Linked DNA regions of Sus scrofa. The protein of the gene in region 3 purifies or fractionates together with the protein of the main gene of each other region. This does not show direct contact. Links are inferred from orthologs where the notes say so. Each region holds a gene or a part of one and is shown on either strand. Other genes may lie near its edges. The genes, in order: MAP4K4, SLMAP, ZRANB1, GCC2, STRN3, STRIP1 and CTTNBP2.

Evidence for each region.
Region 1: the proteins of ZRANB1 (region 3) and MAP4K4 purify together in Homo sapiens (affinity purification with mass spectrometry; 3 studies listed by BioGRID and IntAct, with this or other methods). This does not show direct contact. The link is inferred for Sus scrofa from reciprocal best matches to the Homo sapiens genes ZRANB1 and MAP4K4.
Region 2: the proteins of ZRANB1 (region 3) and SLMAP purify together in Homo sapiens (affinity purification with mass spectrometry; 3 studies listed by BioGRID and IntAct, with this or other methods). This does not show direct contact. The link is inferred for Sus scrofa from reciprocal best matches to the Homo sapiens genes ZRANB1 and SLMAP.
Region 4: the proteins of ZRANB1 (region 3) and GCC2 purify together in Homo sapiens (affinity purification with mass spectrometry; 3 studies listed by BioGRID and IntAct, with this or other methods). This does not show direct contact. The link is inferred for Sus scrofa from reciprocal best matches to the Homo sapiens genes ZRANB1 and GCC2.
Region 5: the proteins of ZRANB1 (region 3) and STRN3 purify together in Homo sapiens (affinity purification with mass spectrometry; 4 studies listed by BioGRID and IntAct, with this or other methods). This does not show direct contact. The link is inferred for Sus scrofa from reciprocal best matches to the Homo sapiens genes ZRANB1 and STRN3.
Region 6: the proteins of ZRANB1 (region 3) and STRIP1 purify together in Homo sapiens (affinity purification with mass spectrometry; 4 studies listed by BioGRID and IntAct, with this or other methods). This does not show direct contact. The link is inferred for Sus scrofa from reciprocal best matches to the Homo sapiens genes ZRANB1 and STRIP1.
Region 7: the proteins of ZRANB1 (region 3) and CTTNBP2 purify together in Homo sapiens (affinity purification with mass spectrometry; 3 studies listed by BioGRID and IntAct, with this or other methods). This does not show direct contact. The link is inferred for Sus scrofa from reciprocal best matches to the Homo sapiens genes ZRANB1 and CTTNBP2.

The regions. Positions count from the first base shown.
Region 1 is NC_010445.4:52,509,663-52,513,607, reverse strand, and holds part of MAP4K4 (mitogen-activated protein kinase kinase kinase kinase 4), read left to right. Parts: intron 1-400; coding exon 401-507; intron 508-2,144; coding exon 2,145-2,296; intron 2,297-3,149; coding exon 3,150-3,247; intron 3,248-3,788; coding exon 3,789-3,797; intron 3,798-3,945.
Region 2 is NC_010455.5:39,659,877-39,663,821, reverse strand, and holds part of SLMAP (sarcolemmal membrane-associated protein), read right to left. Parts: intron 2,630-3,945; coding exon 2,534-2,629; intron 2,252-2,533; coding exon 2,180-2,251; intron 807-2,179; coding exon 666-806; intron 1-665. UniProt on the Homo sapiens protein: Associates with the striatin-interacting phosphatase and kinase (STRIPAK) core complex, forming the extended (SIKE1:SLMAP)STRIPAK complex.
Region 3 is NC_010456.5:134,324,572-134,328,568, reverse strand, and holds the end of ZRANB1 (ubiquitin thioesterase ZRANB1), read right to left. Parts: intron 2,590-3,997; coding exon 2,371-2,589; 3' UTR 876-2,370; downstream 1-875. UniProt on the Homo sapiens protein: Ubiquitin thioesterase, which specifically hydrolyzes 'Lys-29'-linked and 'Lys-33'-linked diubiquitin. Also cleaves 'Lys-63'-linked chains, but with 40-fold less efficiency compared to 'Lys-29'-linked ones.
Region 4 is NC_010445.4:47,728,001-47,731,945, forward strand, and holds part of GCC2 (GRIP and coiled-coil domain-containing protein 2), read right to left. Parts: intron 1,191-3,945; coding exon 1,014-1,190; intron 1-1,013. UniProt on the Homo sapiens protein: Golgin which probably tethers transport vesicles to the trans-Golgi network (TGN) and regulates vesicular transport between the endosomes and the Golgi.
Region 5 is NC_010449.5:68,557,590-68,561,534, reverse strand, and holds part of STRN3 (striatin-3), read right to left. Parts: intron 3,656-3,945; coding exon 3,480-3,655; intron 3,304-3,479; coding exon 3,256-3,303; intron 2,707-3,255; coding exon 2,585-2,706; intron 1-2,584. UniProt on the Homo sapiens protein: Calmodulin-binding scaffolding protein which is the center of the striatin-interacting phosphatase and kinase (STRIPAK) complexes.
Region 6 is NC_010446.5:110,078,043-110,082,500, forward strand, and holds the start of STRIP1 (striatin-interacting protein 1), read right to left. Parts: upstream 2,976-4,458; 5' UTR 2,740-2,975; coding exon 2,560-2,739; intron 1-2,559. UniProt on the Homo sapiens protein: Plays a role in the regulation of cell morphology and cytoskeletal organization. Required in the cortical actin filament dynamics and cell shape. Part of the striatin-interacting phosphatase and kinase (STRIPAK) complexes.
Region 7 is NC_010460.4:28,566,905-28,570,576, forward strand, and holds part of CTTNBP2 (cortactin-binding protein 2), read left to right. Parts: intron 1-625; coding exon 626-727; intron 728-3,672. UniProt on the Homo sapiens protein: Regulates the dendritic spine distribution of CTTN/cortactin in hippocampal neurons, and thus controls dendritic spinogenesis and dendritic spine maintenance.

The DNA.
Region 1 (3,945 bases), on a different chromosome or scaffold from region 3:
TTTTCCTCCACTTGGAATTTGCTTCCTCTGAATATTTTCTTGCTTCCTACAGTCTTTGTTTCCTGCTGATCCATTTGTAGCCCATTGTTTGGTTTCTTTGAGCTTATTTTCCTGGTTTTCACATTATCTCAGCAAAATGCCTTGTATGTCCCCCGCTACCAAGCTTCAGTGCCACCCTCATTAAATGTTACAGAAGCACAGAAAGGTTGTCCCGATGCCTTTGACTACATTTTCTCTCTCTGGCGTGTCAGCGGAGGGCAGAGAGGGATGGGGCTGGCCAGGTGAGGGTAAGGCTAAGGTGTACTTAGGCCCTCTTGGGGGGTATGTTTTGGTGGGAAAGTCTTTGTTCTCCTCCCCCTAGAGTTTGCAGCAATGTAACTGCTGTATTTTGTACCCCAAGGTTCCTGTGAGAACAACGTCCCGGTCCCCTGTCCTGTCCCGTCGGGACTCCCCACTGCAGGGCGGTGGGCAGCAGAATAGCCAAGCAGGTCAGAGGAACTCCACCAGGTAAGAGGAGTTCGCTGCACCGACTCCTATGGTCTCACACTGTCTGCTTGCAGAAAAGTGCTCAGAGACACAGAGGTTCTGGGGCAAAGACACGATCAGTTTCTAAAAGAAAATACCATCAAATCCATTGATATGCATAACACAGACTGATCCGTGGTGAAAAGAGAAGAGTAGATCCGATTGTGATGGTGGCAGTTCTAAAGTGAAAACTCCCTGTCAGGCGGGTAGGTAGGAGGCACACAGGAGTCCAGGGGGAACTGTAATCCAGCGCTGATTCTCCAAAGGGTGTTGGTGGCCTTGGGAGTGGTACAGACATCACACGCAGGCCATGAAAGAAAAGCCAGTGGTTGACTTACATTCCGCATTAACTCGTGAATTAACCACGTAGAGCTGTTCTATTCTTCAGTTCTATTCTTCACGAGGCCACTTTGATTTGAGGTTCACTGAATTCAAATTAAATAAAATTAACTGCCTGAGCTGCACCAGCCGCATTCCAGGTGTTCAGGAACCACATTCACCTTGTGGTGACCGAATTAGCCAGCTCAGCCATAGAAGGCCACCATCTCAGTTAAGCTCCACTGACCAGTCACTGACCAGTCTGTTTCAGAGGAAGAATTGGTCCAGTTGAATGTTGTGTTCCCTGATTGCCACTGAGCCTCCGAAGGTAGCCTTCTTTACAGGGTCTCTCATATAACTGAGGTAGTGGAACGGGTGGTGGCCAGCAGCTACCAAGAGAGCCTTCCGAGTCTGTATGTGGCCAGGCTGGGCCGTGGCTTCTCCAGGCTGGATTTCGGGTTCTGCTGGGTGGGCCGTGGTTCTCTAGGGTGGACCTTGGGTTCTCCAGGGTAGGCCATGTGTTCTTGTGCACCTGAGTCAGTTCTTGCCTAGTTCTTACCTGGAGAACTCATGTCCTCCACCACGGAGGACAGCTGTGGTGTGTCCATGGCTCTGTCACATTTCCAGCCTAGCTTGTGGGGAAGGAAGCAGGATGTCGCACGGTGTCAGTTCTCGAGAGCAGCGGTGACAGGTGTTGGGGATGATCAGAGTTGTGCAATTACCCAAGTGGGATTTTTTATAATAAGAAACTGAGTTTGGGAGTTCCTGTCATGGCTCATTGGTTAACAAACCTGACTAGCATCCATGAGGATGCGGGATCGATCCCTGGCCTTGCTCAGTGGGTTAAGGATCTGGCATTGCCATGAGCTGTGGTGTAGGTCGCAGACACAGCTCAGATCCTGCACTGCTATGGCTGTGGCATAGGCCGGCTGCTGCAGCTCCGATTTGACCCCTAGCCTGGGAACCTCCATATGCCTCAGGTGCAAAGACAAAAAAAAAAAAAAAAAAAGAAAGAAAGAAACTGAGTTTGTAGCTGTGACAGAAATAGTGACACTTCAGACCGAACAGTAGCGTTTCCTCTCAGGGTGGGATGTCTTTCAGCTCTTTTGGCTTGTTTAGATACCTGAGATAAGATGGGTAGACAATGTGGCTGTAAGTTCTGGTGGGTTCGGTGACACATGCTGCTGGTGGCCGGTGTTCCCACCCTTCCTCCATGTGAGGACATCGTGCACAAGTCTGCCTCACTTGACCCTTCACCTTGGGCAGTGCCTTAGCTGTTCTCTCCTCTTCTTCCCTGACAGCAGTATCGAGCCCCGGCTGCTGTGGGAGAGAGTGGAGAAGCTGGTGCCCAGGCCTGGCAGTGGCAGCTCCTCGGGGTCCAGCAACTCAGGATCCCAGCCTGGGTCCCACCCCGGGTCTCAGAGCGGCTCCGGGGAGCGCTTCAGAGTGAGATGTAGGGGCCTTTCCTGCTCCCCCTCCCTGCCACCTGGCCCCTTGAGCAGTGCGGGTTAGGGGACCCCCCCCCCCCCCAGCAGCTGGAAATCCTCTTGTGTTGTCAGCCTCGTTCCTCTGCACCTGTGGATCCCACCACCTGTGGACCCTGTAGGGCTAGTTACTTACAGTTAAAAAAATACCTGTGCAAACGTGGACCTTGTGAAGTCACACTTGTGTTGTTCAAGGGTTGACCGTATTTTGGAAATCCTTTTCAATCGAGGAGAAGCCCTGTGGTTTTGCATAGCTGCATATAACAAACCCAGTGTGGGCTTGCTAATGACCCTGCACATCACCATAATTTTCATAATGAAGACTTAAGCTTGGAGAGCACTCGAGCACGTCTCATGTGTTCTTGCATTTAATCCTTATAATAACCCCAGGAGAGAGAGGTGTACATTGTGTCCATTTTACAGATTCAGTAACTGCACTTCAGTGAGATTGGGCCACTCGTCCAAGGTGATTGGTTCAGTGTCCACGCTGAGCTTTGAACCCACTCTTTTTCAGTATAAACTCCATCAGGATTGTCCTTAATAGTCATTATTTTAACCTACTCGTCATAGTAGATTAGAGACAGTTTCATCTCCTCTGTCACTGACATGGTCCAGCAAGGTACCATGAGCAGTACCGTGCTGTGGGATGGTGGCGGATTCTGTGTAAGGAGTCAGAAGCCCCAGGGTTCAGGCGCGAGAGTGGAGACCTTGCTGTGAGGGGCTGATGGGTGGGGAGAGGGCGGGCCAGGTGGGCTGGGCGGCTTTGGGGCCATGCTCAAGAGGTTTATGTGTCTCTGCCATTCTTGTCTCCAAACTTGACAGCATCATCCAAGTCTGAAGGCTCTCCATCTCAGCGCCTGGAAAATGCAGCGAAAAAGCCTGAAGATAAAAAAGAAGTTTTGAGACCTCTCAAGCCTGCTGTAAGAATTGCACAAAGTCAGTTTTGCTTATTTCCACCTTGAGTGAGGCCTTGCTGTTAAAGCCGTGTAGCTGCAAGGCCCGAGGGCCTCTGAGGGCCCTGCAGATCAGAGGGCTGATAAGGGCATAAACTGGAAACCTTAAACTCTCCCGTCCCCACTCGACCACCCTTTAATGATCTGAAAACACAAACGAAAGAAAATCCATCTTTCTCTTTGCTTAGCATCCACCGTTACATGGGTTCCTATGAGTTGGGCTTCTAAAGTACCCACTTCTAGAGTAAATGCATCACCTGCTTCGGCTCACGGAGCTTTATTCTGTTCTTTGGTGAGCACGGCAGTGGCACCTGTTTCTTGAACTTGTCCTTAGTCCTTGTCACGTAGCTGACCTGTCACTGTGCACCTCGGGGTTCTGGGCCTGCTGGAGTTTTGTTTCCTGCCTGCATTGATTTCTCTGCCCCCCGCCCCCCTTCCTCCATGCTTCCTGTGCCGTGTCCTCATCCTCGCTGGCTTCTCTGGCTCCCTGGACCACCGCTGACTCCAGGGCGAAGTGGTAAGCTCGCCTCTGTAGTTCCGTGTCAGAGCAGCATGCTGGCTGCCCTTTAGTTGGCATTCCTCTTCCTTTCTCAGCTTGCCTTTATGTTCTTTTTAGAATTAATAGAAACACTAAACTTTTGCTTCATCTTTTTTAACACCCCAAA
Region 2 (3,945 bases), on a different chromosome or scaffold from region 3:
TGAGTCAGTCACTTTGGGATAGGGCTATTATAGAAATTAGACTTATACTAAGATATATTTATTACTTAGTTTACAGTGACATTTTAAGTCCAATAACAACTTTTGTGGCAATTTTCCAGTAGTTCAAAGGAATAATAATCCATATTATCAATTAGCTTGTTTTAAAACAATGTGAAACATATTTTGATTATTCCTAAAAGACCTAGAAGGGGTCTTAGAGATAACTGCCCCTGTAAACCTCCAAATGGTGGTTTTCCTCTCTGGAGGATAGGTAAAGTAAGAATAGCGGAGTAGCTCTCTGCCTTACACTGACTAGCCTCAAATGGAAGAGAAACAAAACTACGTGAAAGAAGATCAATTCCCTGGCACGCATCATGGTCCATGGTGTAGAGGTTGAATCCTAACCTAAGCATAAACAGTAAAATTCCCAGGTTAGGCTTTTATTTCCTCAATTATGACTAGGGACCATAAGCACCAGAACTTACATGGTTATCTTAAGAATTCCTGAAAATGAAAACAGCATATTGCTCCTTCCTCCCAGATAGACAGGAAAAATTTCCGAGCTATATGCTAATACCCAAGTTTGAAATGTCCTGAAATGCTAGCAACTTGAGGCTAAAATTTTAAAATTATACTACTATTGAATATTTGTAAAATTTAAATACCTCAACTTCTGAAAGTTTTCTAACCACATCAATTTTCTCCTGAAGAACTCGCCTCAGGGACTCTTTGGCTGTTGTCTCATAGTTGTGTTTATCCTCCTGTAATGCTATAAGTTCCTTCCGTAAACTATCTTCTGTTTGATTCTAGGATTAAAAAATATTTATAATTATAACCAAGTTTTAATAACTTATAATTTGAAAAAATAAACATTGTTATGCTCTTTGACTTCTATATCAAGGTCCCTCCAAACACAAATTATGTTGGCTCTGTATAAATTGAAGCTGTATTTAAAAGCTGCATTAGTAAATTATACCTTCACAAACATATTAATTCATACTTCCAACAGGAAAAAAAAAAGTCAACATAAATTGAGAATTTCTCTCAAGCATACAATATGAATTAACTCTTCTATTTGCCATATTCTCTGAAAGCCACACTATTAACTTTTATGGGCAAAAAACAAAAAAAAACCTCTTATCTCTAAAGGGGCATTTTAAAACAATAATTAAACCCAAAGAAATAAGAGCATCCTGAGGAAAAAGCTGATTCCAAGTCTGAGGCAGGACATGCACAAGATGAGTCTGGAATATCTTGTCTGATATGACAGCAGGAAGCTATCAAAGTCTGCTACCAAAAGGAATCATGTGCCAACCTGAAGAAGTACCCATAGATGAAAGATGGGATCATTGGGACTCAGTAAGAAAAACAAATGGAAGAGGTTTAAACACATGAGATATATTTAAATCTAAGTTGGGGGCGGGGAATACTTCATTGGTCATTCTTTGGTTGATGAGAAGGAACCAAACCATTATTTTGAAATCCAGTAAATAAAGGGAAAATATCACTATCCTGGCTTTTCCTAAAAAAAGTTTACCTCAGGATAACAAAATGGTTTATGAGGGGAAGTTTCTCTTTAAAGAAGTAATTTAGCTAGTAAATGAAGGAAAGGTAGAATTACAATATCACCATTTCTGCAACCCTTAATAAAAGAAGGGATCTAGGAAAGAATAATCAAAGATCGCTAATATCTCAAAAAGAAAGATGAGATTTTATGGTGGCTTTTTTTTTTTTAACAACTGCACCTGCAGCATATTCAAGTTCCCATAGGGCTAGGGGTTGAATCAGAGCTGCAGCCGGGGCCCACATCCTCATGGACACTATGTCGGGTTCTTAACCCATTGAGTCATAATGGGAACTCCTCATTATGGTGCTTCCTGATGAAAGTATACAACACTATCCATGAAGGTTTTGACGAGAAAAAAAAAAAAAAAAAAGATTGTACGTAAATCAGAAGTGACCTAAATCTCTAGATCAAACTCTGAATTTATTGCATGGGAGGGAGAGCTAGAAGAATGTTTAACATTTACATGTATGCTTGAAATTTCCCATAATGATAGAAGATTTAAAAAGAGTGGTGAAGATGTATAATGTTTTTGCATGTATTCAAAATGACAAAGAAATGAAGCTATGTAAAAAACAATGCATTTTTCTTTATGTACTTGAGATTAATACTTACTTTGGAGCATGCCTGTAATTGGTTTCCCATAACTTCTAACCGTGATAAGAGTCTATCTTCATCTATTAAAGCCTGTTGAAGAAAAATCAAATATAAATAAAATCCCAGGGTAATTAAGAAATAACATATATCAAAAATGGTGCTACTGCCAAACAAGACATAAAAATCATAAAGATTACAACATCCACTTTAAAATGCAAAGTTTTCAATATTTGTTCATTAGGAAATAACTTTGCCTTTGATATAAAATTTTAGTTTAGTTTAATCAGTATCTAAAGGCCAGGCCAGAAAAAAAATTTAAAGGATATTAATCGATGCTTAAATGCTTCTTGAATATAAAGGTAACTGGAATACCTGCCAGCTGGTATCTGAAGCCTCTTGGGTGATGGCTAGTAGCCGCTGAAGCGTGGCTAACTTCTGTTCCAACATCTGTTCCCGATGTAAGGCCTCCTAATATTATAAATCACAAAAGAAATTCTAATAAACTCAGCAAGATTCCTCTGAAGAGTAATCAATTTTTTAGCACATTCTGAAAATATTCTCATATTACATCCTATTGTGTATCTTACTTTTAAATATGTTAAGTCAACTTTGTAAAATATATTTAGGTCGCATCATTTTAGCCTCATTTGTTAAGCTGTAAGTACAGTTGTTGGGGTACTCTAGCTGCAACTTCCAGTATAACAGAAAATAAGCCATCTGGTTTGCTTTTGTTTTTTACTTGTAATTCATAATAGGGAGTTAAAAACTAAAATCTTGAGTAGAAGGGTCCAACTAATTTTTTAACCTTGAATTTCATATACATTCATTTAAAAAACATGTACATGTATAAATATATATATGGAGAGAAAGAGAGTGCACTCAGAATAAACTCATTCCAAACTAAACCTAATCTTGTGAGCAGCAAAGATATTTCAAAATGGCTTAGCCACACAAGTGTGACATAAAAATACCTCTTAATTTTCCTTTTTAAAAGGAAAAAATACATATATATATATGTATATATATATATATATGTGCATATATAAAGAGAGACTACTTTATTCTCAAAGTCTACTGCATTTTCAGGTGTTCTGATTCTCTCTGTGACTGTTTAACAATTTGCCATAATCAAATACACCAAAAAATAACTAAGAGTCTACCAAGCACTAGTTCAATGTGATTATAGGGTCAAGGATAACTATTTGGTGGCTCCAAAGGAGTATTTTTACTGAAAAAAGACATTGACAAGCAGAACCTTATCTCTAGGTCACTTGTTAACATTTGATAGCAGTTTAAGAGGGTCTCCTTCACTGGAAATCAAGGTGAAAATGCTCACACAGCACTCAGCTGTGGTTGTGGCACATCTTTAAATTTCACTTTCTCCTATTCCTGTCATTATCCAAAGAATATTTACTACTCTACTCCCTCTAAGTTACCTCAACTGAGAAGTATATACTTCGAACACAGTACTTGAGGTTTAAAGCATACATTTACTCCTCTCCATATCCTTGATAATAACGATTAGGGAAAATTTCATCTGATTAATTAGAGGCACTGATTTTTAGATTAAGGAATCTAATAAAAGTCATATCGCCTCAGAACCCACATTAAAACACAGCTTACACACTTAAAAGGGCTAGGTGCCAAGTTTATCTTAAGCTTCTAAAACATTCCTAATATCCAGGAAATTAAAAATCACACTAATGCTGTAAAAAGTTTTACTTAAAAACAAAACCACCAAACACCCACTAGTTCCACTAGATGGTGTAATTTCACCCTTTTTA
Region 3 (3,997 bases):
ATAACCTTAAACACACATTAAGCCTGCGACACAATGTGCCCAAAATGTTAACATAAAAAGGCAGGTCCAAACCCATGGCGCACCTGGGTTTTAATTAGAACAGAGAACACAGACAACTGTGCTGTCCCTAGAAAAGAAACGATACCGAAAGACAATTACCTGTCACCCTGCCACACATGAGGACTATACTCTGTCTTGGGACAATGGTTATGGCTGTTTGATAGTTCAAGAGCTTAACAAAGCATTGATTCACCCCAAATTTTGGCCTTTACCAGCCAATCCGAAAACCACTTAAAGTCCCATCCCTGTCCAGAGCCTAGGAAATGGGGTCACGTATAATTTTTTCCCACAGGGAAGAGAGCTGTACCTGCTAAACTAAATGTGGTCACTGACGCGTGAGTAAAGAAAGAGGCACCTCGGGGAAATCACAACACACACAGCCTCAACACTGAGCCTGCAGTTTTCTAGACAGCACGGACTGTCGCGCACACACTAGCAACTGATGCTCACGTGTTTCTCTTTGGCTTCTTCAACCAGGAGGGTAGTTGCTGAACACCAACTAGAGCAGGATGTCTGGCCACTAAAGAATTCCTCCCATATAACAGGAAAAGTCTGCTGTGCTAAAGTCAGAATGGCAGCCTCCTAAAACCTTGAACTATCCCAAATGAAAGCAAACCACAGAGTCAATTTGCAAGAAAACATTAGCCACTTGGAACAGTAACATACACCATTATTTTATCAAAATTCATTTATATGGACTCAAACTGCAAATCTCTTTCCTGCAAGTTTCAGCATACATCCAAAGCGACCCTTTCATCTTGGGCACACCTTTCAGTGAGTGTTCAGAGAGGAAAGAAAACTACAGACATGACATCTCACAGGTACTGTTCTCTTTTTAGTATTCCAGCATCAAATCTGAGGTTGTGCACACTTCAAAACCATCTAAACAGAACTTAGAAGAAAACATGTAAAGCAAGTATTTAAAGGTTTTCACAGCCTCTTCATCAAAGGGAAGGAAGAGTGTGTGTGTGTTGCGTGTGCTGTCTGTGTGGGGCGGGGGCGGGGGGGGGGCACATCAATAATCTACAAAGTGCGTATCAGGACACTACGTCTTTCTGTGTTCCTGAGATGGGTCTGAAACTTTTACCCAGTATTGAATGTATACCTGAAGTGGTCAAATAATACTTTATATAGAAAATTTTTCTACCTAAGACTAAAGTTTTCAAACTTTAAATAAGAATGGCCACAGTTAACCAACATGCAAAAATTCTCAGAATATTCACTGAGAAATTCATTATACAATGCGTTTACCACCTTAAACTGCATTCTTAAATCTTTATTCTCTACTGAACTAATAGTCCCAATTAGCCCAAGCAAAGGCATGCCTTTCTAACACGATTTGCTTAAAGCAGAGTTGATAAAAGACAGTAAGAATCCAAAGACCTTCTGTAGGGAAACTTGGGAGTACAACATTGTCTGAACAGAGTCAAGGGAGCAAATTTCGCACAACCCGTTCAGTTACTTGCGAGCAGGCCAGCTCCCCAAGCGCGCCCCCAGTTTATACCCAGGACTAACTGCTCACAAAGAGACTCCTGCCCAGAGTCTGGTGGAAGATCCCTCATTTTAAGGGCACTCTTCCAAACAAATAAATACCTAAATACTGAAAAGGGGCATACCGGAAAAACCTTAAAAACACAAAATAATAGAAACCAAAACGCAGGAACGAGGTCTATGTGAATGCACTCGATAAGCAATTCTTAACTTTCCTTACAGTCTGTTCCTCAAAGATTCGATTTTATTTTATTGGGCACAACAGGAACTAAATTATTAATAAAATAAAAGCTTGTTTTTATTTTTCTGTTTTGCTGTGGATAATTTGTACAAAGACGTTCCAAATCTCCAGCGAGCTCTAGCGAGACGTGATGGACAATGGGTCTCTTAAGATGGAAGGAGAATGCCAGGTTCTACTTAAAGAAGAATTATCTCAAAGGAACAAAGAGTCACGTGCCATGTGCTTTTGGAGGTGCCCGTGCTGGAAAACTTCTCAATGACATGAAGATGCTGGTACGACTTTTCCTATCACACGACTTCTTACACAACCACATGCGTTACATTTATAGACAGATTTACAACTTGAAAGGAAAAAAGTTCTGTCTTAATAAAATTAGTTTTTTACAAACTGGAGTCCAAAGGTCTCTGTCTCCTCCTGCAGCAGACGCATCATCTCCGCCGGGTGTGGATCAGAAAACCCTTCCAAGCAGCTGCTGCCCAGTCCCTTCATGCCATGCCGTGCGCTCTGCCTGCAGCACCACACTGATGGTGGGGTCGCGACAGAGCTGGTACCTTGGTCTTCTGCTCCTGGGTTTGTCTTCACTCGTCTTCATCGTCTTCATCCTCCTCTCCGTCCGACAGGGAGGTACAGGGCCGGATCTGTCGGTAGCGGTCAAGCCACTTTTCTACCATCTGCGTGACCAGGGGGTGGTTTCGGCGCCGAGAGCTCTTCTGCATGGCGACCAGAACGCCCCCCTCAGTCACACAGCAGTCCAGCCACTCCCTGAGCAGTTTTTCTTGCTGTTCCTCGTTACCTAGCTTTTAGAGGAACGGGAAGAAAAGCAAAAATAACACAACAGATCAGAGACTAGATAGGAAATTTGGAGGGCGGGGGTCTTTTTATAAGTCCACACTCACAGCGTGCGCAAGTTCCCAGGCTGGGGGTCAAATCGGAGCTATAGCTGCTGGCCTACGCCACAGCAACACCAGATCCGAGCCGCATCTGTGACCTACACCCCGGCTCACAGCAACACCAGATCCTTAACCCACTAGGCAAGACCAGGGATGGAACCTGGGTCCTCATGGATCCTAGTTTCAGGTTCGTTTCCGCTGAGCCACAACGGGAACTCCCTGACAGGAAAATTAATAGACACCTACCAGCTCGTATGAGCAATGAAAAGGCCAGAGCAACAAAGTGTTTCAACATGGTTTCCTCCTATCATCACTTTTATGATTAAAACCCAGTTTCCTATGGTTAAATAGAAAAAACCACTAATGGGAAAATCCACAGAAAAACCTAGAGGGGAGAATAATCCGGTAATAACTTAATGTGTTCAATAGCAAAAATCACATGCTATCAAATAAACTGATCCTGGCAAAGGAAAAGCTAGAACGTTACAGCTTCAAACCAGACAGGCTAAGTTTATTCCAAGCTATGCAAAGGCTGAAGTTTCAAAAGTTTCTCAATCTCTTTCTTAATGCCGTGGTTATAACAGTTCTGTAAGAGTCCCTAGTGTATTAAATAAAGGACCGGTGACCTTACAGGAAGATGGGTTTTCTGAGAGTGCCCTTCACGTCTTCACACCTCCCTGCCCCCTCTACACCACCTTCCCCGCCGCACCTACGGCCCTCTCCTATGTGCTGCTCTTGCCCCACCACTGCCCAGGGTCTAGTCTCAACTGAGCAGCCAGGGTTCCTCTTCTGGACGAACTGGCTGTTGGCTCCCCAGCTCACCCAGAGTAAAAGCCTGAGATTTAAAAGACCCACTAACTGACTCCCAGCCCCCCCCACCTCCACCCCCACCTGTCTTATGCCCATCCTCGTAAACCACCTGGCCTGGCACTTCCCTCCACCAGGAGCTCTCCCCCCGGTGTGGCAGAGCTCCTTCCTCGTGCGGGCCTCGTTCAGGTGTCACCTCCTCAGCGAGGCCTTCCCGACACCCAGGGGCACCCCAAGCCCCACGGCCCCTCCGTCCCCTGCTCCATCTCTGAGCTTCCCCTCCTGAGCACTCATCACCACCCAGGCCAGGGACTCTGGTCTTCACGGCGTCACCTCCACCTAACACATCCCATACAGCAGCTCTGAAAGGTAAGTTTCAAAGCCTATCTAACCACTATTTATGGAAAATGACGATTACTTTGACCAAATTCAGAATTTTAAGTGGTAGTGCAGCTAACCACGCCTGAAAGACACCCTACGGCTGGCTCTGGCACAGCGCCGCTGCGTG
Region 4 (3,945 bases), on a different chromosome or scaffold from region 3:
GAGTGTTGATATATCTGACTTAACTATAGTTAAGTAAGATAAGACTTATGATTTTATATATCTGACTTTGGTAAAACATCATTTTTCTTTTTATATAAGTATACTCTTGGAAATTCAAACAATATGGAACCAATTACAGAAAAAACAAGAGCCTTCTTTTATCCACTCCACCCCTGCAATATGAAGTCCAGCTCTTGGGGGAAAGAGCCCAGCACAGAGCTCTCTGAGATTTTTCCTATGTGCTACAGGGGAGCACATGATACAAAGTTTTAAATAAGGCTGAGTGGCTAAAGGGAGACCTGCAGTAAAAACACAATGTTTCAAAAGAGGTGTCTTAATTGCCAAGGTCACAGATGGATGACTTTAGATTCTCTCTAGCACTTTGTTCAAACAACACCCACCGACAAGTAAAGGAAGAGCTGGTGGCAGCGACAAGTCTCTATGGAGGATAAAAGCTACGGGGAGAGCTTAAGGGGCTTCCAGGCCTCAAGCGACGGCAGGGACAGGATTGCCTCCATGAGCCCCTGCCTAGACTGCTGCTCTGTCCTCAGGGCAGCTTGGGTGTCGGCCGAGCGACTCCCCCAGAGTTACCTTTACAGTCTCCTACAGAGAGAGCAGGGTTATTAAGATGTTTAAAAAAGAAGAGGCTGGAGTTCCTATCAGGGCTCAGTGGAAACAAATCTGACTAGTAACCATGAGGACACAGGTTCGATACTGGCCTTGCTCGTTCAGTGAGTTGAGGATCTGGCGTTGCTGTGGCTATGACGTAGGCTGGCAGCTGTAGCTCCGATTCAACCCCTAGCCTGGGAACCTCCATATGCTGCAGATGCAGCCCCAAAAGGCAAAAAAAAAAAAAAAAAAAAAGGCAAAAAATTAAAGCAAAATACAGAACAATCCCAAAGGGGGAGCTTTAAGGTAGAAGCAGCAAATACCTACATCTACCTTTCAGCCTGCATCTTCCCCAGCGCACATGTGCCTTGCAGACTGGTGTCACCGTGCCGCACCCCCCTTACTTTTCCCGGAGCTCAGCCTCCTTGGACACGGTCTCCTGCAGCAGCCGGCTATTCCTCTCCAGCAGGGCATCATGCTCAGACTGCAGTGCCTGCAGTTCAGAGACGTGGACCTGCAAGTTATTTTGAGTGTCTTGTAATTTGATTTTCAGTTGGTCAATCAGCATTTCCAGATGTTCTCTAAAATAGAAAAAAAATAGTTCAACAATTTTTTTGGAAAGACAGACATTTCATTGTGTGGTTTCAAATAAATTTGACTTCAATCACTTAATTATTCTTGCCATTACTGTGGATGATTTTAAAGGAAGTATAATCAGTATAATGCTCACAGAATAGAATTAAATGTGAAATAAAACATGCTATAGTCAGACTTTAAACCTCAGACACTACATATTTATAAGTCTCTGGATTTACAAATTTCGATATTTTTTTTTGGCTTTGTTTTTTTAATGGCTGCACTCAGCATATGCAAGTTCTCAGGCCAGGGACTGAACCCGAACCACAGCTGCAGCAACACTGGATCCTTTAACCTACTGTATGTGGCCGGGGACCAAACCCACACCTCCGCAGTGACCCCAAACTGCTGCAGTTGGATTCTTTTCATTTTTTGTCTTTTTAGGGCTACACCCCTGGCACATGGAGGTTCCCAGGCTAGGGGACAAATCAGAGCTGCAGCTGCCAGCCTACACCACAGCCATAGCAATGCCAGAACCATATCTGTGATCCACACCACAGCTCATGGCAATACTGGATCCTTAACCCAATGAGCGAGGCCAGGGATTGAACCCGTGTCCTCATGGATGCTAGTCAGATGCATTTCCCCTGAGCCACGACGGGAACTCCCTGAAGTTGGATTCTTAACCCATTGCACCATAGTGGGAACTCCAAGCAGACCAGTAAATGGCATCAAAATGGTCTACTTTATATTATGTGACTATGTCATTAGTTAAAAAAAAAAAAAATCATGCAGTTCTAAGCTAAGCATTGTGAAATCAGCACATTACACCATGTTACAGTCAAAGAAAGTCTTTGGAGAAAAACATTTAAAACCTATAATTCTGCCACAAGTGATACAATACACTTTTTTTTTTTTTTCAGTACTTAATAGGGAGATCCCATCATGGCTCAGTAGGTTAAGAACCTGACTAGTATCCACGAGGATGTGGATTTGATTCCTGGTTTCACTCAGTGGGTTAAGAATCTGGCATTGCTGCGGCTGTGGTGCAGGCCTGCAGCTACTGCTCTGATTCATCCTCTAGCCCAAGAACTTCCATATGCTGCAGGTGCAACCCTAAAAAAAAAAAAAGTACTTAATGTTAAGAAAGTAGGAAGAAATTAAAACATTTACATTAAAATAACTTTAACTCTGGGAGTTCCCACTGTAGCTCAGCAGAAACGAACCTGACAAGTATCCATGAGGACGCAGGTTTGATCCCCAGCCTTGCTCAGCAGGTTAAGGATCTGGCACTGCAATGAGCTGTGGTATAGGTCGAAGACTAGGCTTGAATCCTACATTGCTGTGGCTATGGTGTAGGCCAGCAGCTGTAGCTCTGATTCGACCCCTAGCCTGGGAACCTCAACATTCCATATGCCTCATCTGTAGCCCTTAGGAAAAAAAAAAAAAAAAAAGCAAAAAGATAAAATAACTTTAACTCAAAATTCTGGCATGATCAAAAATGACTCACAAATGGTAATACTTTTATTAAAAATTTTTACAATTTATTTTGTTTTTAAAATTATTTATTAATTTATTGACCACACTCAAGGCATGCAGAAGTCCCCAGACTAGGGATTAAACTCAAGCCACAACAGTGACAATGCTGGATCCTTTAACCCGTTGCACCAACAGGAACTCCCCTAGTGGTTTTTTGGTTTTGTTTTTTTGTCTTTTTAGGGGCCTACCCACAGCATATGGAGTTCCCAGGCTAGGGGTCAAATCGGAGCTGTAGCTGCCAGCCTATACCACAGCCACACCAACGTGGGATCCAAGCTATGTCTGCGACCTCACAGCTCACGGCCCGATCAAGGCAGGGATCAAACCCATGTCCTCATGGATGCTAGTCAGATTCGTTTCTGCTGAGCCATGATGGGAACTCCAGGTAGTATTTTTATAATAAATGTGTTGATATTTACCTTCAGCTTTAAGATGAGCTACTGACAGAAAACAAAACAAACAAACAAACAAAAAAAACCAAAAAAAAACTTTTCAGCCTACAGTTCCCCTGTATTAAGTACTTAAACATGAGGTTTGACAAAGCATAAATGCATAAACACTGCAGGCCATCCAGTCCTACTGAGAATAGTAAGAGCCAGATGTAACGGTTTTGCACACTGAGCCTTCATTGATAAACAACACACGAAGTTCTGAATAAGCACAAAAGTCATTTGTAAGCAGTTACTACTGAAACAGTATGCCACTGAGATGGTCCTAAGTTTAAGAAGAAAAATTTAACTCTAGATAAAATTGAAAACTTTTTGGGAGTTCCCGTCGTGGCTCAGTGGTTAACGAACATGACTAGTATACATGAGAATGCGGGGTCGATCCCTGGTCTCCCAGATACGGCTCAGATCTTACATTGCTGCAGCGCCGATTTGACCCTTAGCCTAGGAAATTCACATGCTTCGGGTGCAGCACTAAAAAAAGACAAAAAAATTGAAAATTTTTGAATAAGTAAAACGTTTTAAAGCAACCTCTGTTTAGCCTAATGAATGGTGACCGAGTACACTGAGAAAGCATTTTTACTCTCCTCCTACTTGGTCCTCATGTAACTCGACATCTGTCCTTCCACTATGATGAATCTGTCGGGGGTGGGGGGAACGGACTGTCCAGCCTGTGTCTCCAGACTCCACCCCAGCCACACGGCTCCTTCACGCTCCCTGAGTCTGAACAGTGCCCTGAAGACGACTCTGTCCTCAGGGTGATGCCATGTGAAAC
Region 5 (3,945 bases), on a different chromosome or scaffold from region 3:
CCTTTATCTTCTCACACCTGTCTGTCCCCATTTCAATATGCTACCATCATATACTCAATTGCTCATGCCAAAAATGCAGGAGTGGTGACGAAAGTTCTGAAATAAACAGTGGTAATGGTTGCCCATCCCTGTGAATATGGTAAAAACTACTGAAATGTATACTTCAAAAGTGTGAATTTTATCATGTGAATTGTACCTAAATAAAGCTGTTAAAGAATAAGTCACTCATCCATCATTTCATCCACTTAATCCAATTTATCATATATTCTGTCTATTCCCCCCACCTCTCCAGCATGTCTTTTTTTTTTTTCTTTCATAATTGAGAATTTTATTGTTGTTTTGAGGCTTAGTACATGGACATTTCAATCCAGCATGCCTTAAATCCATTTCTCTCCAAGTGCTCTGCTACCACTGCTCTACGACCACTCTAATCTTGACAACATTATCTCTCACCTAATCTACTGGAATCACTGTTACAACTTTACATTAAATGACATTGATATTTTTTTCTCCACTCTTCCCACCCCCAATCTATTTTCCTTGCAACAGCAAGAGTTATCTTTTTAAATTCTACATTTATAGGACACTTCCTAGCTTAAAACTCTTTACTAAACGTTTAACTTTTATTCTCTAGATTTCAGCTTGAATGCCATTATTTTATTCTACATCTAAATAGGGTTCTGCCTGTTACTCTCCTCTCTTGGTAGGTATCAGTTATCTTCATACCATACTTCATACCATAATGTGTAACTATCCATCCCCTTGCTTATGTGTTTAAGGCTTATCTTTTTCTATTAGACTAAGTTTTCTTTCTTTCTTTGGTCTTTTGTCTTTTTTTTAGGGCCGCACCCATGGCATATGGAGGTTCCCAGGTTAGGGGTCGAATCGGAGCTACAGCTGCTGGCCTACACCACAGCCACAGCAATGCCAGATCCTTAACCCACTGAGTGAGGGCCAGGGAATCAAACCTGCAACCTCATGGTTCCTAGTTGGATTTGTTTCTGCTGCACCACAACAGGAACTCTTTTATTTTTTTTTAGGGCTGCAGCAGCAGCAGCAGCATTTGAAAGTTCCTGGGCTAGGGGTCTCACTGGAGCTGCAGCCTTATGCCACAGCAACACTGGATTTGAGCTGCATCTGCCAACTTACGCCACACCTTGAGGCAATGCTGGATCCTTAACCTGCTAAGCGAGGCCAGGGATGGAACCCGCATCCTCATGGATACTAGTCAGGTTCTTAACCTGCTAATAAGCTGCCAGGGGAACGCCAAGTCTTATTTCTTGATGTATGCTTAACACTACACCTGGCAAATTTAGGCCTCAAGTGTGTGTTAAATAAAAAGATCAAAGAGCTCGTGAATTCTTTTTAAATGAGCCAGTGATTAAGTAGACCACGATTTACTTAACCATTCTCGCACTAATAAACATCTGTTCCATTTTAATTTTTTTGATTATAAACAATTGCCCTTGTATATATTTTAATGTGTGTGCAAATATTTCTGTTAGTCAGATTCCTTTTTTTTTTTTTTTTTTTTTGTCTCTTTGCCTTTTCTTGAGCCGCTCCTGCGTGGCATATGGAGGTTCCCAGGCTAGGGGTCCAATCGGAGCTGTAGCCGCCAGCCTACGCCAGAGCCACAGCAACGCGGGATCCGAGCCGCATCTGTGACCTATACCACAGCTCACAGCAACGCGGGATCCTTAACCCACTGAGCAAGGCCAGTGATTGAACCCGCAACCTCAGGGTTCCTAGTCGGATTCGTTAACCACTGCACCACGACGGGAACTCCATCTGTTAGATTCTCAAAGTGGCATTTGTGAGTTAAAGCTATTGTTGCTTTGTCTTTTTAGGGCTGCGCCCGTGGCATATGGAAGTTCCTAGGCTAGGGGCTCAATTGGAGCTGCAGCTGCTGGCCTACACCATAGCCACAGCAACACGAGATCTGAGCAGAGTTTGTGACTTACACAGCTCACAGCAATGCCAGATCCTTAACCCACTGAATGAGGCCAGGGATAGAATCTGCATCCTCATGGTTACTCCTCAGCTTCGTTTCAGCTGAGCCAGAACGGGAATTCCAAAAGTTTTGTTTTCTTAACTAAGGAATTTTTTGGTCCTCTAAAATGTTCACTGATTTACACACTCTCATGTCTCTATTTGTTTTTATCATCTCTCACTAAATATTTATGAACTACATAAACTAAGTTTTAAAAACTGTTTCTTGTACTAAATGTTATTCTCCTTACCCATAATGGAAAAGATTCTGAAAAAGAATGTGTGTGAATATGTGTGTGTGTGTATGTGTGTATAAAAAACAGAATCGCAAAAAAAAAAAAAAAACAGAATCGCTGTGTTGTATGCCTGAAAACTAGCACAATATTATAAATCAACTATACTTCTTGCAAGATAAATATTCATGGCATTGTATTTCTTAATTTTTCTCTTTCATAAAGCAAATTGCTAGTAAATCAAAGTACTATTACTAGTAAATGAAAAGACCAATGTATCTTTAAACGATCTTATAATAGTTGAGGTAATTATTTTTGTCTGCTCCATCCACTTAAAAAAATATCTTGAGCCTTTTACTTACCATATGTATCATATGGATCCACATTAGGACTAGGCATATTCCACCACTGGATAGTTGCATCAATACCACCACTAAAACACTGTTCACCATTAGAACTAATAGCTAATGATAGAACAGGACCACTATTACAGAAAAAGAGGAAAACAATTACTTACAAAGACTAAGAAGAAACTCATATCTGCATCCCCCCAACCTTTCTCTAAATTTATGTGGTACCTAAAACAGTTTAGATAAACACATACATTTGAACAATACTGATTATATTCTTACTACACAATTATTAATCGAATGAAATATTAGTCAATTAATCTATCTTTTCTTTTTTCTTTTTTCCTAGGGCCACACCCAAGCATATGGAGGTTCCCAGGCTAGGGGTCTAATCGGAGCTGTAGCTGCTGGCCTACACCATAGCCACAGCAACGCGGGATCTGAGCCGCGTCTGCGGCCTATATCACAGCTAATGGCAATGCCGGATCCTTAACCCACTGAGCGAGGCCAGGGATGGAACCCACAACCTCATGGTTCCTAGTCAGATTCGTTAACCACTAAGCCACGATGGGAACTCCCTCTAATTTAAAACAAACATGAGAAAATTGCAAGGCTTCAAGATCGACAAATAATAGTTAACAAGAACTATGATTGTTAATTAAGTACTAATTCAAAAAACTTACATGTGGGCCCTAAATGTGTAGATAGGCTCTACATCTAAAGAGGCACTCCTAAAAGAGGGGAAAAAAGGGGGGGGGACAAATAATCGTAAATCAGTGGTTGATATTCAAGAGTCACTAGGTAAGATCAAACGAGTGCATAAAAGACACAGGACCATAAGAAGAATATTGCTTATAATTAGCAAATTTGGAAGGAAAAAACCACAGGTTAACATTAAAATACTTGCTTTTTGGCAGGAACTGTTTTTTGCAAGTTCCAAAGTTTCAGAGTATGGTCCTCAGAGGCAGTAACCAGCACAGGTTCTACAGGATGAAAAGCTAATGCTCGTACTCCATCGAAATGGCTACGTAGTGTATACTTGGGGTTCCATGTCTTTCGAAAGGCATCTTTATTGGCAGGCAACTAAAAAGAAAGAGCACAATATTTAGTGGTAAAAGTAGTTAACTGATAGGCATGTGGAGTTTTTGTTTGTTAGGGTGTGTTTAAAATACATATTCAAAACTGCTTTGTTAAAATTAAAATGTCCAGTGGAAATTTAATGTACCTTAAAAACTACAACAAATCTTTTGTCATTTAATAAGAACTAAAAAGAATCATTTCATTAGCTTGCAAATACCTAGTCAAATGAAGAGCTCCTTACCTAATTAATCATCAGGCTAAACCCAAAGTCCTATTAAATGTCAAATGAGAAC
Region 6 (4,458 bases), on a different chromosome or scaffold from region 3:
CTGTACTACTTCACAGCATTTATCCTAACTCATAATTATAAATGCACATGTGTATTCGTTTAGTGTCTGCTTCTCCATGAGACTGCAGATTCCTTAAGAGCAAGAACTTTGTCCATTTTGCTCACCAATGAGTCCACAATGCCCAGCATCCTACTGGGCATGAACAACGGACTGAATGAATAGTTCACACCCAAATAACTACTTGTTGGAGGAATGAACACTAAAGCTTCCGTGTAATCTGTGCGGTGAAATGACCATCCCACATGGTGCTCAGATTTTGGAAGCGTCATTCCTTCTAGCTAGTGACCTATCCATAGCTCAGGACTATATGAGTATACACACCCTCAGCCCTCCTGCCCTTCTCTCAAATTTCAGTGAGAACTGACGGAGAAGACAGCAGCTGAACAGAAATGGCTCCTTCCTCCCACACGCGGGAGAGGAGGTGACAAAGAGAATCTTTTTACTGCTGGGGATAGGTCACTAGCTGACAACACACCATCTTGGAAGCCATGTTCCGGGAAAAGAGAAGAGATGAAGAAAAAGGCAGTCCTCAGGCTTGATTACAATTGACCTGGGAAGATAAAGACCACTCGAAAATGATGTAAAACACCCACAAACACTGACTAACACGAAGAACTCCTTATTGGGGCCAAAGAGTGCATGTTCTTTCATAAGTTACTGAGCTTCAGTTTCTTCATTTATGGAATGAGGATGACAAAAAAATCTATCATGAAGGTTTTTTTAAGGACTAATCAAAATTGTGTAGCACACAGTGGGCTCCCATCAAATGCCTCCCCCCGGGTCCTGCAGGCACCCCTCAGGTTCCCAGCCTACTGATTTCAGCTAAGACACAACAAAGAGTGGCATTAATATCTGTAAGAAACAGATTTAGACAGGTCCCTCAGCTTAAATGTGTTCACTAACCTTGTATGTGTTGAGTCTACATGGAAATTAAAGGTTAGAAAGAAAAATTCGAATCCATCAAAGTGCATTTAATGGCCACTTAGGAAATTTTTTAACTATTTAAAAACTAGGGGGAGTGCTTGTTGTGGCTTGGTGGGTTAAGAACTCATAGTATTCATGAGGATGCAGGTTCGATCTCGATCCCCGGCCTCACTCACTGGGCTAAGGATGGGGCGTTGCTGCAACCTGTGGCATAGGTCGCAGATCTGGCTCAGATCCTGCATTGCTGTGGCTGTGATGGAGGCATGCATCTGCAGCTCGGATTCAACCCCTGGCCTGGGAACTTCCATAGGCCACAGGTGTGGCTATAAAAAGGAAAAAACAAAAACAAACCCCACACTAGAACTCCTCTTCTGATGAAGGTGGATTATTCATTACCACTTTCAAAATCCTCCATCCTTGAAAAATTATTAGGAAGTCCCCACTGACGTCCAATCAGCCCACCATGCCAGGGCTACTAAAAGGTCAGTTTCATTGCCTTTTCAAATAACTCACCTCAAGCTCAAAGTGTATCTGACTGGAACTTGCCAAATTTTGATGTTTTACCAGAAGATTGCTCATGCAACAACACCCAAGAGCTTGAGAGGAACTGATTTCACAGGCCCAAAGACGGCATCAGCACTCTGCAATGAACTGGTACCTTATGCCTGGACAATGCAGAATTCCCTCTCATTAATAATAATAATAAGCACCTGACTGCTAATCAGCCTCGGAGTCGTCTCAGGTGAAGGAGCCCTCACAGTAAGGGCGCTGGCAATGTGCTGATTAAGAAGCCTGAAACGCTGCGACGTGTGTGTCTTCATTCATGAATTCTGCGATGGGAGGCAATGGGAGTGTAATTCTTTAATGCGGGGTGAGCTCCAAACTACGGTGTCTCCGAAAGGGGGGGAACAACCCACTAGCAAGAACGGAGGGAAAGCGGCTTCCTAACGCGTGTTTAGATAAACATATTTTTCATCTTTAATAGGTCAGCATCGGGCGCACTGGGCACACCAACCACCAGGCATTGTCAAACCATGGCCCGAACCTGCAGTGGCTAAGGTCAGAGTGGACAGGACTGTTTCTCCCTCCTTCTCTCCCCACCTCGGCGCACAGTACATCGGTGCTAATTAGCTCAGTCCGTCTTCGAGGTGCCTTCCAAACCCTCGCCAGTCTCTTCCCTGCCCACACACACCCTTCGCCGCCTTGCGCTGCGGAACCCGCGGGACCAGAAGCCAGAGACGATTAGGGGGTTGGGGGTGTAGCCGCGCTGCCCTCTGGAGCGCACGCAGACCACTGACTCTTCACCCTTGAACTGGGGGCAGGGGATGGAATCCCCAGAGGCCTCGCCCACAGCCCCGGCCGCAGAGGAGCCTAAGAGCGGACATAGGCTCCAGAAGGGTTCTACCTGGCGGCGGAACTCGGGGAGGGGGACCCCGGTTTCAAGTCTCCCGCCCCGGGGATGCCAGCTTTGCGTCCTGCTCCTTTCGCTGTTAAACAAGCAAACAAACAAACAAAACCTCCTCTGCCGAACCCGGCCCAGCTTGAACCCGAGAGCGACCCCGGCCCCAGAGCCTCCGCCCGCCTGGTTCGAACCTCGCCCCCCGAAGCTCCTACCTCCGAGTCTTTGCGCTGGTTGCGGTTGAACTCTCGGGCTTTGCCCCCGGGCAGGAGGCCCCCGCCGGCCCGCGGTGCCCCAGGCGGAGGCTGCGCGACTGCGGGCGGCGGAGGTGGAGGCGGCTGGGGCTGCTTGTTGTTCATGATTAGAGGACCGGGACCGCCGAGTGCCGGCTCCATCTTGGCTGCTCCACACCCCCGGCTCGGCTCAGTTCAACGACAGTTGCTGCGATGAAACTCTCGCGTGATTTCCTCCCGGAACGCTCCCTGATCGCCATATTAAGTGTGGCGGCAAGTGCCGGAAGCCATCTTGGCTGCCCAACAGTTCGCGATATTTCTTCTATTTGCCTTCCTATCCTCCTCTGCCCCTTTGGTTTTTACTCTGTGTGGGTCCCAGTTTAGAGGTCTTTTTATCTGCGTAGCCCATAAACCCCTTAAGTCAGTTTAGGCCTGCCCAACTCCTGCCTTCACCATCTCTTTGCGCTTGTCACTGTTACAGCCCTGTTCAAAGCTTTGGAGATATGAACAAAATGGACACAATTCCAGTCTTCATGGCGTTTCCATGGGGGGAGAGGTGCGAAAAAAATGAATAAATCAATAAAACAATTACAGTTATGGCATTCATTAATCACTTATTCATTAGACATTTAATGGATATCTGGTATGCTCCAAGCATGTGATAGAATGAGGAACGAAATCAAATGCCTGCACTAACGGTACATAACACAGTGTCTAGTGGGAGAGACGATGTGCACACAAACAAACAGATTAGACAAGTAAGCTCTGAGAAGAAACAAAAAGAAGTGTAAGGGGGAGTTCCCTGGTGGCCTAGCAGTTAAGGACTTGGCTTTGTCACTGCTGTGGCTCCCGTTCGATTTTCTCTGGCCTAGGAAATTCCGCATGCCGGTAGCTGTGGCCTACATAAACAAACAAATAAATAAAATTTTTAATTAAGGGGAAAAAAGAAGTACAAAGGATTCAAAGGTGGTAGTAATAGGGGCGGGGAAGTGTGGCAGGGCTATAATAGGTAGGCTGCTTAAGAAAGGCAGGCCTGAGGGTGAGATTTTGTTTTCGTTTTTTTTGTCTTTTTGCCATTTCTAGGGCCGCTTCCCGTGGCACCTGGAGGTTCCCAGGAGTCTAGGGGTCGAATCGGAGCTGTAGCCACCGGCCTACACCAGAGCCACAACAACGCGGGATCCGAGCCGCGTCTGCAACGCACACCACAGCTCAGGCAACGCTGGATTGTTAACCCACTGAGCAAGGGCAGGGATCGAACCTGCAACCTCATGGTTCTTAGTCGGATTCATTAACCACTGCGCCACGACGGGAACTTCAAGGGTGAGATTTTGAATGAGTTCTGAAACAAGTGAGGGAGAGCCACCCAGATCCACGGAAGAAACACAGGCAGAGGGACCAGCTAACTGCAGAGGCTCTAAAGTGGTGTGGTACAAAATGAGAGAAACAGGGGAAGAATAGTAGGAGATGAGGGCTGGGTAAATGCAAGGGCCAGAGAATTAGAGGGCCTTGAAAAGCACTGACAGGACTTTGGATTTTATCCTACGGGAAATGGAAAACCATCAAAAAGTGTTTACCAGGCAGGTGTCATGGTCTGATGTTGAAAAGACCAGTCTGGCCGCTTTTGGAGAGGGATTGAGAAATTGCAAGAGTAGGTGAGGACACACAGGTTAGGAGACTATATAAATGGAAATGATGATGGCTTATATCAGGATGGAGCAGTGGTTTGACATGGTATTTCTATACTGTGTAGGTAAACTCAACAGGATTTGCTGAAAGGCTGGACTACTATCAGCCAGATAGAGAGGAATGATGGATGAGTCCTAGATTTCTGGCTTGACCAACTGGGTAGATGCTTATATAGCTTATTTAAAAAAAAAAAAA
Region 7 (3,672 bases), on a different chromosome or scaffold from region 3:
GTGGCCTGTATAATTTGTTTAGTCATAGTCCTTAAGCTGTGAAATTTGAGATCCAAATATGGACATCAGTGACCCAAAACCTCAAAGCATTAGCAGCACCAGGTTCAACCTGTTTTGGGACTCTGATACCTGCAGCAAATTTGACCTTCCTGGATAAATGCCTTTTTCTTCCAAGAGAACATAAGGAGGTAGTTATAACTTGGGTACTTTCCAACCAGAGACTCACCTGTTGTATTTGGACAATCAAACTCTCTGGACAAAGTAGAATTGAGTAGCTTATTTAGCCTTGCTGGAAATGAGTCGAAATACTTAACCACTGGAAAAATAAGGTAACAGTGAAAATCTTGCAAATTTTATATCCTTTTATTTTTTGCCAAGTGATTTTTTTTTAATAGGTTATCATCTTCTGACTTTTTAAAAGACTTTTAAAAAGACTGTTTTTCGTGCATTCGCTAATAGTTTTACATCAAGGCTTAAAGTCACAGGACCTGGGGGTCTGTTGTATAGAGCTTCTGACAGTAAGAGAGGCTCACACTTCTGATGTGAGTTTGCCACAGTGACTTTAAGTCTTGCCTTGAGTGTGTCACAGTGCAACTGAAATCATGGTCAATTTTCTGTTCTCCAGATTGCTGATTCCAGGGATGATTTAAGGAGGTTTGATAGTTCGGGAAATAATCCTGCATTTTCAGCAACTGTTAATAATCCAAGAATGCCAGTGTCACAAGAGGTAAGTGCCCCTTCTCCCTCCAAAATGGGACAAAGGATTGTTGTGGAATTGACTTCACAAATCTCTCAATATGCCATCACGAAGTTACTTTAAAAACCCTCACTGGGAAATGAACAGGATTAGGGTAGAAGCATTCATGAGGAAATCAAGTTTAGAAACTTTGCTCTTTGGATAACAGCTTGAAATAATCACATAGAAAAGCATTACTTGGTTTTCCTTATATTTAAATGCTGAAAAAATTTTGATTCCAAAATTGGGGGTGTTTCTTTTCCATTTGTTTTCATTAGTTTATGCCAAAACTGAAACTAATGGAACTTCTGTCCTCTTCTATTTTAAAATGAAACATTGACTTTCATTCGAGAACCATTTTGGAAAACCGAAGTTTAAAAATCTCACTTCTAGTTTTACTTTAACTTGCCATATCATGCATTGCGTTTCAGTGAGAGATTTTCCTTTAAAAACAAAGCAGAATGGAGTTCCCATAATGGCACAGTGGTTAACAAATCCGACTGGGAGTCAGGAGGTTGCAGGTTCGATCCCTGCCTCGCTCAGTGGGTTGAGGATCCGGTGTTGCCATGAGCTGTGTGGTGTAGGCCACAGACACAGCTCCGATCCTGTGTTGCTGTGGCTCTGATGTAGGCCAGTGGCTGCAGCTCCGATTAGACCCCTAGCCTGGGAACCTCCATATGCCACCAGAGCAGCCCTGGAAAAGGCAAAAAGACAAAAAAATAAAATAAATAAATGAAAATAAAGCAGAATGTCAAAGAGTCAAGATTCTAATCAAGTTGATTAACCTCTTGAAATTAACTTACAGGATTGATTAAATAAATTCCAAGAGAGGGGTGGCCCAGCGTGGTACTTCTGGGTGAACAGAAACAATAAAACTACCTCTTACCCAGTAGTGATTTTGTGAGGATACACATTTTTATTGTTGTTGTTTTTCTTTTTTAGGGCCACACCCGCAGCATATGAGTTTCAAGGCTAGGGGTCAAATTGGAGCTACAGCTGCCAGCCTACACCCCAGCCACAGCAACTCAGGATCTGAGCCGTATCTGTGACCTACACCGCAGCTCATAGCAACCCGGGATTCTTAACCCACTGCACGAGGCCAGAGGTGGGAATGCAGATCCTCATGGATACTAGTGGATTTGTTTCTGCTGAGCCACCCCAGGAACTCCCAGGATGCACATTTTCTAAGAGGCATGTGGTAACTTGTGCTTTGCTCACCAAGCCTTGTCGATGGTAGTTCACATCCTGCTCTCATCCACTCCCCGGCAGCTGACACAGACCTGATGGGGGGTGGGGAGGAGTGCAGAGGGCAGTATTATAAAGTGAGCGTGCTGAGACTTTAAATTGTCCATCTTTGTCGGATCACCAGCCGGCCCTGGTCCCCGCCGCCTCTGCTTCCTTAGTTTCGGTCCTGATTATTTACATGTGGAGCTATGTGTGTTGGGAGGAATTGTGGCAGGGCCGTGGTCTCGAATAAAAAATACATAACCTGAGGATCTGTGAAGAAGAGCATGACCCCTCTCGGGCTCATTCTGTATTACGTCTGCTTACCCCACCCCTGGGGAACCGTTTAGAAGCACAGCGAAAGCATAATTTGGAGAGTGTGGAGCGTGACTAAGGAGGGGATCTGGGGTCCGTACTGTGAATTCCAGCCAGAAAGTATTTTTTCCGGAGCTGCCTCTGAGCTGTAATTCACAACACATTTCTTGGGGCTCCAGGATCCCTCGTGAGGATTCTTTGTGGAATAGTCCTTGGGAAGGGGCACAATGAGCCACTCTCTGTCCACAGGGCCCCGTCACTTTCCTATATAAAAATATTGACTCAGTGAGTGGCTGCTGTTGTGTAATGTCTAATGGAGACAGTTTTGTACCTTTCTCTGCCACATGGCCATATTGGGTTGTGACAATAAGGTACTGTCCATGAAAAATAGTACTGAAAGTAGGATAAGCCTGGAACAACTTTGTTTTAAAAAGGGGCCTTTCACACTTCTGGGCTCTTAAAAAAGAACCATGGAGTGGTTTGATGTGGGTATTACAATAAGGGGCTGCCTGTTCTTTGCCCCCTCAACACATTCCGAGGACTAGCCTTTGGTGAATACATGTTTTTCTCAGAACCTGCCAGCAGAGGGCGAAATAATACTCTTGGCATTCGGGAGCCTTCTGGAAACTTCACAAGCTCCTGTCTTTTCTATCCTTCTGATAAACTCAGTGAGCCTTTCTTGGTTAGATGCCCAGTTTCTTCTGTTATCAGGAAGTAATTCCCTTTAGAAGTCAGGGTTTTCTGTGTTAACTGAAATCACTTTCTCCTGAGTGGCCAGCAAGGGGTCTATTAAGTAAAATGTTAGCCAGCCTTCTACATTAAAAAAAAAAGTATACATAAATACATAGTATCTATATTAATAAATGTTTTCTTCTTATGAAAATGCAGATTGAACCCCCTAAAGCAAATGCAGATGGAACCCCCTAAAGCAGAAGTTCTTATCTTTGGTTGCATAATGAATCCTCCTTTTTTTTCCCCCTTATCCTCAGTGGCTGGACCACATGAGGTCCTAATGTAATTGGTCTGAGGTGCAGCCTTGACCCTGGGGTTTTTAAAAGCTTCCTGCTGATTGTTACATGCAGCCCGAGCTTAGAGCCCTGTCTCTAACACCTACCTCTGAGCTGTCTTTACCCTTCCTCTTTCGCATGGAATTCTTTCCTCTTCACCTGTAACAGGTCCAAGTCCTTAAAGAACCATTGCCATAGCCTCTTCCCTTCCCTGTTTTCTTTTCCTTCTCCCTGCTGCCCATTTAGAGAGCTGAGATTATAGTATCCTCTTCTCTTCCCCCGAATGCTCAATATTGAGTTAATAGCTCTGATGTGACAATATTTCTTTGATGCTAAATGACTAAATCTTCTTTTAGGGGTGATGTCTTTCTGTGCCAACCAGAGATGTTT